Linked DNA regions of Sus scrofa. The protein of the gene in region 1 purifies or fractionates together with the protein of each later gene. This does not show direct contact. Links are inferred from orthologs where the notes say so. Each region holds a gene or a part of one and is shown on either strand. Other genes may lie near its edges. The genes, in order: UBE3D, DNAAF2 and CPSF3.

Region 1 (3,650 bases):
CCATGTGCTGCAGGGGCAGCCCTGGGAAAAAAAAAAAAAAAAAAAGTCTATAAGGGATAAAAAACATTTATAAAGATGAATTTGTACAACTTTTTGGAAGTGATCACTATCAGAGTTTAAAATACACAAATTCCAACACTGCATAAGATTAGAAAGATCTGTTTCTAAAGTACTAAAATACATGCACAAAGATTATTTTCCTTGCAGCACTATCTTTAACAGCCATACAATGGAATTCTAGTCGTTAATAAGAATCCAATTCACAGATTTTTTTTTCTAGCCACACCCACAGCACGCAGAAGTTCCAGGCCAAGAATTAAACCCATGCAACAGCAGTGACCTGAGCCACTACAGTGACAAAGCCCGATCCAGTCACCAAAGAACTCCAATAGTCCAACACACATTTACACTAACAAAAAATAATCATCACAATAAACTGTTGTGTGAAATATACATGTTGAAGAATGATACCAATCACGTCGTTATGCCAGATAGGGAAAAAAACACGTTGACATACACATATCAGACTGTTAATAATGGTGCCCTCCAGATGGTATGACAGAGTGGGGCAGAAGAGGGGACATGAAGGGGAGCTACGACTTCTTTCATCTTCTTCCTGTTGTCAGAATGCACTAATTTTACGAAAAAGTAAATTTTTTAAAATTTAAATATGCATTAGTAGTAAGTTTAAAAAGTTCCTACTCCTGATTTTCCATTTGAAAACCTTGCAATAAAAGCAAATTAAAGCTGATTTCAGAATCTGACTCTATGAGATACACTTAGTATCAACTTGAGTCAGAAAATATTCTAGCTCTAAGTAGAAATTATCTGGAGGAGTTACTGTTGTGGCTCCATCAGGTTAAGAACCCAACATAGTGTCCGTGAGGATGTAGGTTTGAACCCTGGCCTTGTTCATAGGTTAAGGATCTGCTGTTGCCGTGGCTGTGGTATAGGCCAGCAGCTGCAGTTCTGAATGACCCCTGGCCTGGGAACCTCCATTTGATGCAGCTGTAGGGAAAGAAAGGAAGGAAGGAAGGAAGGAAGGAAGGAAGGAAGGAAGGAAGGGAAAAAAAAAGAAAATAAATTTTCTGGAATTAGAGAAGCCTGGGGTTCCCGTGATGAAGGGACAGCCCCAGAGCCACACCTAATAACAACTTCAACTGCTTCCTTCCTTCTAGATACCAGGCACTTTTGTTCTATCTGGAGCACCCAAGACAGTGTCTTTCCAATAAGAAGTGCTCGGTATATACTGGTTGAATAAAACAGACGTGGAGGCAGAGAAGAGATTTGGGTCCTGATGCCTGAATTTTCACATTATGTCTCCAATTCTTTTCTGCACAATAGTGTTTTGAGTAGGAGTAGTTTAATATCAGATGCTTGTGGTGCATATGGGGATGGATCTTCCCCCAAACCTGTCACTACATCAAAGTGCTGAAATCAGGATCTCAAAGAAATATCTGCCCTGCCACATCCATAGCAGCACTATTTATAACAGCCAAGATGCAGAAACAATCTAAACATCCACCAACACTGAATAGAGGAAGAAAATGTGGTACATAAACCAGCTATACTTCAGCTTTTAAAAAATGAAATTCTAGGAGTTCCTATCATGGTGCAGCAGAAACAAATCTGACTAGGAACCATGAAGTTTCGGGTTCAATTCCTGGCCTCGCTCAGTGGGTTAAGGGTCCAGCGATGCTGTGAGCTGAGGTGTAGGTTGCAGAGGCAGCTCAGATCCCAAGTTGCTATGGCTATGGCATAGGCCAGCAGCTGTAGCTCCGACTGGACACTTAGCCTGGGAACCTCCATATGCCATCTCTAAAAAGACAAAAGGCAAAAAAAAAAAAAAAAAAAAAAAAAGAAATTCTAAAAAAAATAAAAAGAAAATGAGATCCACACATCCAATGGAAGATTATTTAGCCTTAAAAGGAAATCTTGTAATATGTGACAATCTAGATGAACCTCGAGGACATTATGATAAATAAGACAAGTCAGACACAACAGGATGATACTGCATGACTCCACTTACACGAGGGATCTAAAATAGTCTAGGGAGTTCCCTGGTGGCACAGCAGGTTAAGGATACAGTGTTGTCACCGCTGTGATGCAGGTTGGGTCCCTAGCCACAGAACTTCCGTGTGCTATGGGCACAACCAAGAGGAAATAAAATAAAATAAAATAGTCTAGAAGCAGAGAGTAGAATGATGGTTGCCAAATGCTGGGGGGAAGGGAAAACAGGGAGTTGCTAATCAAAGGGTTTAAGGTCTTAGGCAAGCTAAGCTCTAGACATTTGCTGTGTTACAATATTATGCCTATAATTAACAATGCTCCGTTGTGCACTTAAAAATCTGTAAAGAGGGTAGGTCATGTTAGGTGTTCTTACCACACACATTCAAAACAAGAAAACAAAAACAGGAGCAACAGAACATATTTTAAACATGAGAGTACCAAATAGGCAAAAAATGTGAGAAAGATGGAACTGCGTTACGCTGACCAAGAAAGCTACTAAAAACTGAGAGTAAAAATATTTTGCGGCATGAGTTTCTACAGAGCAGGAATCAGGCATTAATTCTCTCTAAATCCCTCATACCTAGCACAAAGAGGCATTTACTTCATTTGTTATTAAATTAAGGGAGTTTGATTCATGAATGGAACTGATAAGAAAAACTCAATTTTGCATATTTATTTTCTAGAACTGAAAATTAAGAAAAAAGAATGGCCAAAAACAAACGAATTTCCAAGGCCCTGGGTTATTACGCTACGAAGAGCTGAAATAATTTCACCTAAGAGGGTAAAATAATTTCTTACCAGGATGTACACTTTGCCGTCGTGACCTTGAATAGTGAATCTAAAAGTGCTTCTAGCAGAGGAGAGTTCCATCAGACACTGGGCAATAACGCTCTGTACAAACTGAGACCTGTTTGAACAGAAACCAATTTTCAGTGTGCCTCTCATAATAATTCTAACTGGCATGAAGAGCCAAAAATACCCATAGGGTAACTAAAAGGCAGAGGTGGGTGCATGGCAGACTTTTCTATATGCTGCCCATTCCCTCACAATCTGTGCTCCTTTTAATCTATTTTAATGTGTTTGTGTTTGCTCCAGTCTTTCTATAACCTATTCTCCAATCCTTAATACGTTTTCCACTGCAAACCTAACAATTCCCCCCACTAAATTAAAAAAAAATATACTGTTAAAACAAGTCAATACTCCATTTGTGCTATGGCACATTAAACAGTGAATAAGTAAGTTAAAAAAGAATGTGAGAAATTTCCTCCAAAACATTGAACAGTACTATCGCCAATGTTTTCCAATTGTATCCCCTGGAAGTGTCAGCTCCAAGGTACAGAATCAAAGTATCTACGGGAGGATAAAGTTCAAGGTTATAGTCAGAGAGCCATAATTTTTAGACACCAATATATGAACTTAAATAAAGACATATACCACAGTTAACTTTCGTATGCACAATAAAGACATATACCACAGTTAACTTTCGTATGCACAACTAAAATGACTCAAAGAAAAGGAACACCAATGGATTTAATGACTAAGTAATGCTCTTTTTATTTTATTTTATTTTATTTGCTTTTTAGGGCTGTACCCATGAGTCATTTGAAAACTGACCCATGTTTCAAACAAGTTAAATTAAA
Region 2 (3,374 bases), about 96 Mb from region 1:
TTTATTTTAGGAAAGGTTATTTATCAATGAAGAAAATGTTAATGAGTTTCTTGAAGAGGTTCTAAGCTCTCCATTCAAACAGACAATGCCCCTAAGCTCACCATTAATAGAAGTTCTTCAGGTTACTGATAGTAAGATTGAAATACATGCAAAGGTAAGGATTTTCGTGGGCTCTATAGCATAGTGATTTGGGACAAGATTGAAACCTAACAAATAACTTAATTCTTGATTCCTTTTTCTTTCTTTCTTTCTTTCTTTTTTTTTTTGGCTTTTTGTCTTTTTGCCTTTTCTAGGGCTGCACGTCTGGCATATGGAGGTTCCTAGGCTAGGGGTTTAATCCGAGCTGTAGCCGCCGGCCTACGCCAGAGCCACAGCAATGTGGAATCCGAGCCGTGTCTGTGACCTACACCACAGCTCAAGGCAATGCTGGATCCTTAACCCACTGAGCAAGGCCAGGGATCGAACCTGCAACCTCATGGTTCCTAGTCGGATTCGTTAACCACTGAGCCATGTTGGGAACTCCTGATTCTTGATTTCTTGATGTAACTTTAAACTAAATGTACATAATGGCTGGGAAGGGTTATGTTAAGAGGAATAGACATATGTATTTTTAAAAATTAATTTATTTTGTCTTTTGTCCTTTTTAGGGCTGCACCTGTGACGTATGGAGATTCCTAGGCTAGGGGTCTAATCTGAGTGGTAGCCACAGGCCAGAGCCACAGCAATGCCAGATCGAGTCGTGTCTGCGATCTATACCACAGCTCACGGCAACGCTGGATCCTGAACTCACTGAGCAAGGCCAGGGATTGAACCCGCAACCTCATGGTTCCTAGTCGGATTCATTTCTGCTGCGCCACAACGGGAACTCCTATATATTTTACTATGTGCTACACATCTGCAATTCATTTACACTTATCTAATTTAATCCCCAAATAACTGTCCAGTGAGGAATAGAGAGAAACTAGCATTCAGGAATTATACTAGTCCAAGGAAAAACAAGCCTTTTTGACTCTCAAACCATGGGAACTGTGTCATACAGTTTGTTCATTCTTTCTGGTTGAATCTTAAATTTGGTTATTTTTATACTCCTTGATAATTTTTATACTCCTTGATAATAATTTAGTAACTAATACAGCTGACTTATATGTGAACTGGGGGAAGAGGAGCTGAAAAATTAACAGAAATGCAAGAAAACTCAAGTTCAAAATGCCCTTATAAGAATGACTTTTAGGAGTTCCCGTCATGGGTCATTTAGCCTGACTAGTTTCCATAAGGATGCAGTTTGATCTCTGGCCTCGCTCAGTGGGTTAAGGATCTGGTGTTGCTGTGAGCTGTGGTATATGTTGCAGATGCGGCTAGGATCACACGTTGCTGTGGCTGTGGCATAGGCTGGTGGCTACAGCTCTGATTAGACCCCTAGCCTGGGAAACTTCATATTCCATGGGTGTGGCCCTAAAAATAAAAAAAGCAAAAAAAACCCCCACGATGACTGCTAATGGGCTTTATAGGCCATATTAAAGTGTTTGTAGGCCAGGATTATTTATCTTGAAGAGGAGTCAATGAAAGTATTTAATCAGGAAATTAATGCCAGATTTGCACTGTTTAGAAATGACTGGTAGCATTTGGTGGATGACTTTGAGGGGGAAGCCTGAAAGCCTATCTGCAAGTCTCCTGCGTTTTTCCTTCCCAATTTGAAAAAAGTTTCCAGAGGGAACAATTTAATTTTGTTTGTTTCAAAGAATTATTAACTTGCTGTTTCTCTTGACATAGTTGCAAGAATGTGATAACTCTGAGCAGCTTCATGAAAACAAAGAAGGAGCCAATGAAGAAAGTCATCTAACTGAAAAAGAAAATCTAGAACATCCTACCTCCTCAACAACCAATTCTGATTCATCTGTAGCAGTCAAAGTACTAGAAGCCAACAGTTGTGGTCTGGTTGCATGCTTGCAACAAGGGGCTTTTGATGTTTCTCAGAAGCCATTTGCAGAGTCAAAAGATAATTTAAAAGGACCAGTGAAAATTGAAGAGAAAGAATTAGGTGGAGATCACCCACCTTCATCACTGAACAAAACCACAGGTCACGATACACCTGGTTTTGACAACTTAAGGGAAACCAATATGCAGGATGGTAGTGTGCAGATTATTAAAGATCATGTCACTCATTGCCCATTTAGTTTTCAGAATTCTTTGCTTTATGACTTGGATTAGTTATATATAATTTTAAAGATTGAGTAAAAATTTTTAGACTTAAAATATTCTCTTTCAGTTTACTATCTTAAAACCAAAGGCACTCAGGAGTTCCCATCGTGGTGCAGTGGTTAACGAATCCGACTAGGAACCATGAGGTTGCGGGTTCGGTCCCTACCCTTGCTCAGTGGGTTAACGATCCGGCGTTGCCGTGAGCTGTGGTGTAGGTCGCAGACGTGGCTTGGATCCAGCGTTGCTGTGGCTCTGGCGTAGGCCGGTGGCTACAGCTCGATTTGACCCCTAGCCCGGGAACCTCCATGTGCCGTGGGAGTGGCCCAAGAAATAGCAAAAAGACAAGGAAAAAAAAAAAACCCAAAAACCAAAGGCATTCAATAAAGTATAAAATGAAAATTTGCAATTTTTATTGTCATGGGGAAACTGTAGATAATTATTTTTCTGCATGTAGAGAGTTTATACAAAGCTTCTTTAATTATGGAGATAAGTTTTGTGATTCCTCTGATGTTTATTTTTTCTAACGGAGAGATATACATCTAGTTTTAATACAGCCTGTTTATATTTATTTCTGTGTTGTTTTTGGCTTCTTTTACTTGCCATTACTTTAATAAAGTTCAAAATAAAGATTTCATTAAGTTGTGTCCTTCACAAAAAGTAATTCTCAAAAATGCAGTTAACTAGAAGCACACTAGAGCACATGTTGGGGGAGAAGAATCTCAAAACCATGCGTTTATTAAGTCTCACTAAACAGGATGCATTTATGCTTGTCATAGAGTCTGAGAGAAAAGAACTTTACTAACCAATATTAAATGATCCAAACAATACAGATACACTGAATGAACTTCAGTATTTTTGCTTCAGTTGTGTATTTCATTCATAGGTAAGTCACCATATGTTATAGTAGGTTATTTATTAATGACTTTTAAAACTAAATTTTAAAAGAACTTTTTGGAAGTTATTATTACAGTATGAAAACATCCCTTGGGTTTTTTTGTTTTTTTTGTTTTTGTCTTTTTAGGAGGCTGGGGTCCAATCAGCTATAGCTGCTGGCCTACACCACATCCACAGCAACACCAGATCTGAGCCGAGTTCTACAACCTTACACCTCAGCTCATGGCAACACCAGATCTTTAACTCACTGAGCGAGAACAGGGATCGAACCTGTGTCCTCA
Region 3 (4,366 bases), on another chromosome or scaffold:
CTGCGTGCGGGCGGCGGCTTCCTAGGGGTCTCCCGCTGGGGATGGGGCAGCTGGGCTGGCCGGACCCTCAGAATACAAGAGTGACTCCGAAGAAACAGTAGTTCCGGGGAGCCGGTTGACAATTTTACGATTTTGGAAAGTACTTCCTCAATTTACGTGACGTTTTGTCAAATTGCTAAGGGGAAGGGTTTATGAGGTTTCCACGTGAACACTGTACAGAGACTACATGCACCAACCAGGCCGTGCGCCTGGGCGCTAAACAGATAGCCACTGAACTAGGAAGGGCTTAACAGCCAGCGTGGACAGAGCCACACCGCTAACCTGGCCACAACGTAATAGTTACCATTATCTTTCTTCCTTTGAACTCCAGAATAATACATGATCTTCCCACTTCTTGCCCAGCGCCACTGTAAACATTCGAGAGAAGAAATAAAAAAACAATTAAAAAAGAATCAAAATGAAGGCCAATAAGTTCAAACTTTTTTTACAACTTAAACTATTCCCCTTTGGCAGTTCCATGGGGACTCAGTGGCTTAAGGAACCAGCAGTTGTCACTACGGTGGCGTGGGTTCAATCCCTGGCCCGGGAATGTCCACATGCCTTGGGTGTGGCCAAAAATAAATAGATACATAAATAAGAAAAAACCCATGTCCCAGTTGATGACAGCAAGCACTTGAGGCAGATGAGAGGCCACAGAGTTACAGAGGCAGGGAAGAATGGCGTCGATGTGGGAAAAGATGAAAAGTGACCTTTGGGAGCTTAGGGACCTTTCCCCTGTTAAAACTGTGAGAGAAGCTGGCCCAAACCTGAGAAGCCCAAGGGTTAAATCCAACCTTCTGAACGCTATGGTTAAATTACGATTATTTAAGATGTAAACTAGCAGTCATTTAGATTATCTCACTATACTTTTAGAATTTAGCACTTAAGGATAAACCCATAGGCACTTCAACATTCTTCCATTTTCCATAAGGCGATAACATGCATTTACCAAACAGCTTCAATTTAAATAGACTTACTCCTGCTTGTGAATCTAATCCCATTTCCTTCTACTTGCCATTGTGTCAGTACACTTAATTTTCCTTTCTTCTTAAATTAATAAAACGGCCTCATTTCTCCACCATCACAAGACTTTAGGTTAAACCTCCTGTTTTTCCAATCCCTCATCGTCTCTGATGCTTTTCCTGACCATTCTAGCTCATGAGTCACCTAGTCATTCAGCATCAAGCAGATTCTATTTGCTGAGCAGTGCATTAGGTGCCTAGCATGTGGAAAGGCCCAATGCCATGGCCCTGACCTCAAGGAGCCCAGAGCCTCCCAGGAGATCAAGGCGAGATGGGTCTGTCCTCAAACCGAGCTCCTACTTCAGAGCAGGCTGTAGATAAAGCCAATCAAAGCACCGCAGTGCTACTGTGGACTCCTGGCCTTCTACGCTCCCTCCAAAGGGTGCCAAGTGCACGCAGTCTCACAGTTAAGGGTAGTGATTATTTCAAATTTATCTCCCCTTACTGCAATTTCCCAACCATCTATCCTACTCTTTATCTGAGGCACAGACTTTGTCGGCATCAAAAAAATGATACAGTTCATTTGTCAATTTCCTCCACTTACCAACCCACCCACAGGGTTCCCTCCACTTCTCTTGTAACGGAGACCAGACCCCTTCTGAGGCTAAGGTTTTCCTGGTGGTTCTACACTCTGCACACACCTTCCTTCCGAGCCACTGACACCTGCTGTATCCTTGGCTTTTCCCTCACATCCTTTCTCTGCTATCGGCATGTATTTATTTTTAATTTTTTAATTTTATTTTTTAGCCATACCTGTGGCACACGGAAGTTCTGGGCCAGAAAGCAAACCTGCACCACAGCAGCGACCAGGGCCACTGCAATGACAACGCCAGATCCTTAACCCACTGAGTCACCAGGGAACTCCAGCCACTGGCATTTAAACCCACTAATGTCATGCTCATGCCCAAATTAAAATCCCTTCTCCACTCAGTCATGTCACTGCAATCAGGCTTTTGAACCACCCACTCTGCTCCGTTTCAGTCCTTTTCTCTCTGTTCTCCCATCCGACCCACTCGTCCTTCTCTGAGCTTCTTTCCTGACTTCACCATCGCATCCTGTCCTGCTGGTTTTTCACCTTAGTTTGCTTCACTCGGCTGCCTCTGCTCATCCTTCAACCGTTGCTATGCCTAAGGTTTCCCCGGCCCTCTTCTCGGCCTTCCTGACCTTCATTCGCATATTTCTGACATGCTGACAACTCCCAAGTCTGTATCTGTGGCCCAGATTGTTCTCCTGCATTGCAGACTCTAAGAGTCACTTGGCATTGGTATCTCTCCTGGGTCATTTCATAGGCACCTGGTATTCAAATAAACCAGACCAGTCCTCTGCCCCTGCTCTTCTTTCTTTCTGGAACTCTCTCCCTCCCATGCTGGCATCACTGGCTTCTTTGTATCATGTGCGTCTCAGTTCCGACGTCACCTCCTCATTTGCCCTTCACACCATATTCCACCGTAACACTTACAACTACATAAAGTTATCATATTCACCAACTTGTGGCTTGTTTCTCACTATTAAAATGAAAGCTCCCCAACAGCAGAGAAATTGTCTATTTCACCAGGTACAGCTACAGTGCCTGACCTGCAATAAATCTCAAAAAATACTTCAAGAATGAGTAAAAACTCCCAAATTATAGACCCTGGAAACATGATGCTACACGAAAGAAGCCAGTTACAGAAGATCACATGGTGTAACCCACTTATATGACACGTCCTCAACAGGGCCATCTGTAGAGTCAGAGAGTAGAGGAGTCGTTGCCTAAGGCTGGGGAATTTGGAGGGGATGGATATACAGGGCTTCTCCCTAGAATGAGTGAAATGTTCTGGAATTAGAGGTGACAGTTACAAAACTCTGTTCTATGTTAAAACCACTGACTCATACACTTCAAATGAGTGTTGGTGTGAATGCCATCTCGCTCAGTCTGCTATGAAACAAAACTCCCAAATTTACTCTAGACCCGCCCCGGCTCCTGTACTCCTTGAGTGAATAACATGTCCCCTTGCCAGTTGTCCAACCTCAGATCGGTCGTGGCAACGCTGCCCTCTGCTCTGCCTTCCCTCCCCCAAGCTGCCCTTCCCAGCACATCTGCTCAGGTACAAAGACCTAAAGAATTCCCTTTTTTACTCTCGCAAGCCTCTTTCCAACCCACCGCTCCTCACGTCACTCATCCCAAGTTCTCACTGCTTATCACTTGGATTAGAACCTGACTAGTGTCCCATGAGGATGTGGGTTGGATCCCTGACCTCGCTCAATGGGTTAAGGATCTGGCATTGCTGAGAGCTATAGCTTAGGTTGCAGAAGCGGCTCAGATCTGGCATTGCTGTGGCTATGGTGTAGGCAGGTAGCTGCAGCTCTAATTTGACCCTAGCCTGGGGCCCTCCATATGCTGTGGGTGCGGCCCCAAAAAGCAAAAAGCAAAATCCATCCTTTTAATCATCTCCTACACTAAAGCTAGGAGCATCTTTGCTCTTCCTAAAGCAAAATTCCCACCACATCTCATTCCCACCTAAAATCCCTTCTTGGCTCCCAGTAACTGGCAATAAAGATGCCAACTCCTTACTATGTATACAAGGTCCTTCCTAAGCCTCTACCAGCTCATCTGCTAATTGTTTAGCCGCAGCCACGAGACTGGCCACAAACTGAGAACTGCTCTGCCTGGAACATCCTTGCGCCCACACTTTAGCTATTTTTAATTCCTCCTCATTCTTTGCCACTCAGCGCACGTATCGCATTTTTCAGGATGCACGCAATGGCATTCTCTTCTCTGCTGGAAACCCCTTTTCCATGCGCTCACGGCCTCCGCGCAATGCCTTTCCACGCCACTATAGCAGTCGCCATTGACGGAGCACGTACCACGGCCTTTACTCCGCAGAGTTAAGTGTTGCTGTATTATTTCCACATGAGGACACGGGTTCAGTGATGTTGTGTCCTAGGAATCGGTAAGAGTATAGAAGGGATTTCAGGTCTGCCTCCAAAGCAATGCTCTGCTCTTACTCCAAACTCTCTCTCCAGGACCTGTCATTTGGCAATTCTCTCCAAAAGGGTGAATTCAGTGAACTCAGCACTCTTACCACATCCCTACTGCCTAGTGTGGTGCTTGGCACGGACTCAGTGTTTGCTGAACACAGGAAGAGAGGACGGGGGTGAACTGAGCAGTGGCTAACTTGTGTTATGTCCCCAGTAGGTGCTCAATGAGTCTGTATCAAATCAATGTATAAAGGAAATACTTTCTAGCTTCTGAAAAAGAGCACACAGGTGCATGTGGTGCTAACTCATATCTAACAATAAACGTCTGTTTGTGGATTCAAACT

Evidence for each region.
Region 2: the proteins of UBE3D (region 1) and DNAAF2 purify together in Homo sapiens (affinity purification with mass spectrometry; 4 studies listed by BioGRID and IntAct, counting the BioPlex papers as one, with this or other methods). This does not show direct contact. The link is inferred for Sus scrofa from reciprocal best matches to the Homo sapiens genes UBE3D and DNAAF2.
Region 3: the proteins of UBE3D (region 1) and CPSF3 purify together in Homo sapiens (affinity purification with mass spectrometry; 4 studies listed by BioGRID and IntAct, counting the BioPlex papers as one, with this or other methods). This does not show direct contact. The link is inferred for Sus scrofa from reciprocal best matches to the Homo sapiens genes UBE3D and CPSF3.

What each region holds. Positions count from the first base shown.
Region 1 is NC_010443.5:83,174,866-83,178,515, reverse strand, and holds part of UBE3D (E3 ubiquitin-protein ligase E3D), read right to left. Parts: intron 2,918-3,650; coding exon 2,809-2,917; intron 1-2,808. UniProt on the Homo sapiens protein: E3 ubiquitin-protein ligase which accepts ubiquitin from specific E2 ubiquitin-conjugating enzymes, and transfers it to substrates, generally promoting their degradation by the proteasome.
Region 2 is NC_010443.5:179,481,665-179,485,038, reverse strand, and holds the end of DNAAF2 (protein kintoun), read left to right. Parts: intron 1-10; coding exon 11-154; intron 155-1,770; coding exon 1,771-2,208; 3' UTR 2,209-2,850; downstream 2,851-3,374. UniProt on the Homo sapiens protein: Required for cytoplasmic pre-assembly of axonemal dyneins, thereby playing a central role in motility in cilia and flagella.
Region 3 is NC_010445.4:126,900,497-126,904,862, forward strand, and holds the start of CPSF3 (cleavage and polyadenylation specificity factor subunit 3), read right to left. Parts: upstream 2,807-4,366; 5' UTR 2,298-2,806; coding exon 2,178-2,297; intron 497-2,177; coding exon 489-496; intron 408-488; coding exon 344-407; intron 1-343. UniProt on the Homo sapiens protein: Component of the cleavage and polyadenylation specificity factor (CPSF) complex that plays a key role in pre-mRNA 3'-end formation, recognizing the AAUAAA signal sequence and interacting with poly(A) polymerase and other factors to bring about cleavage and poly(A) addition.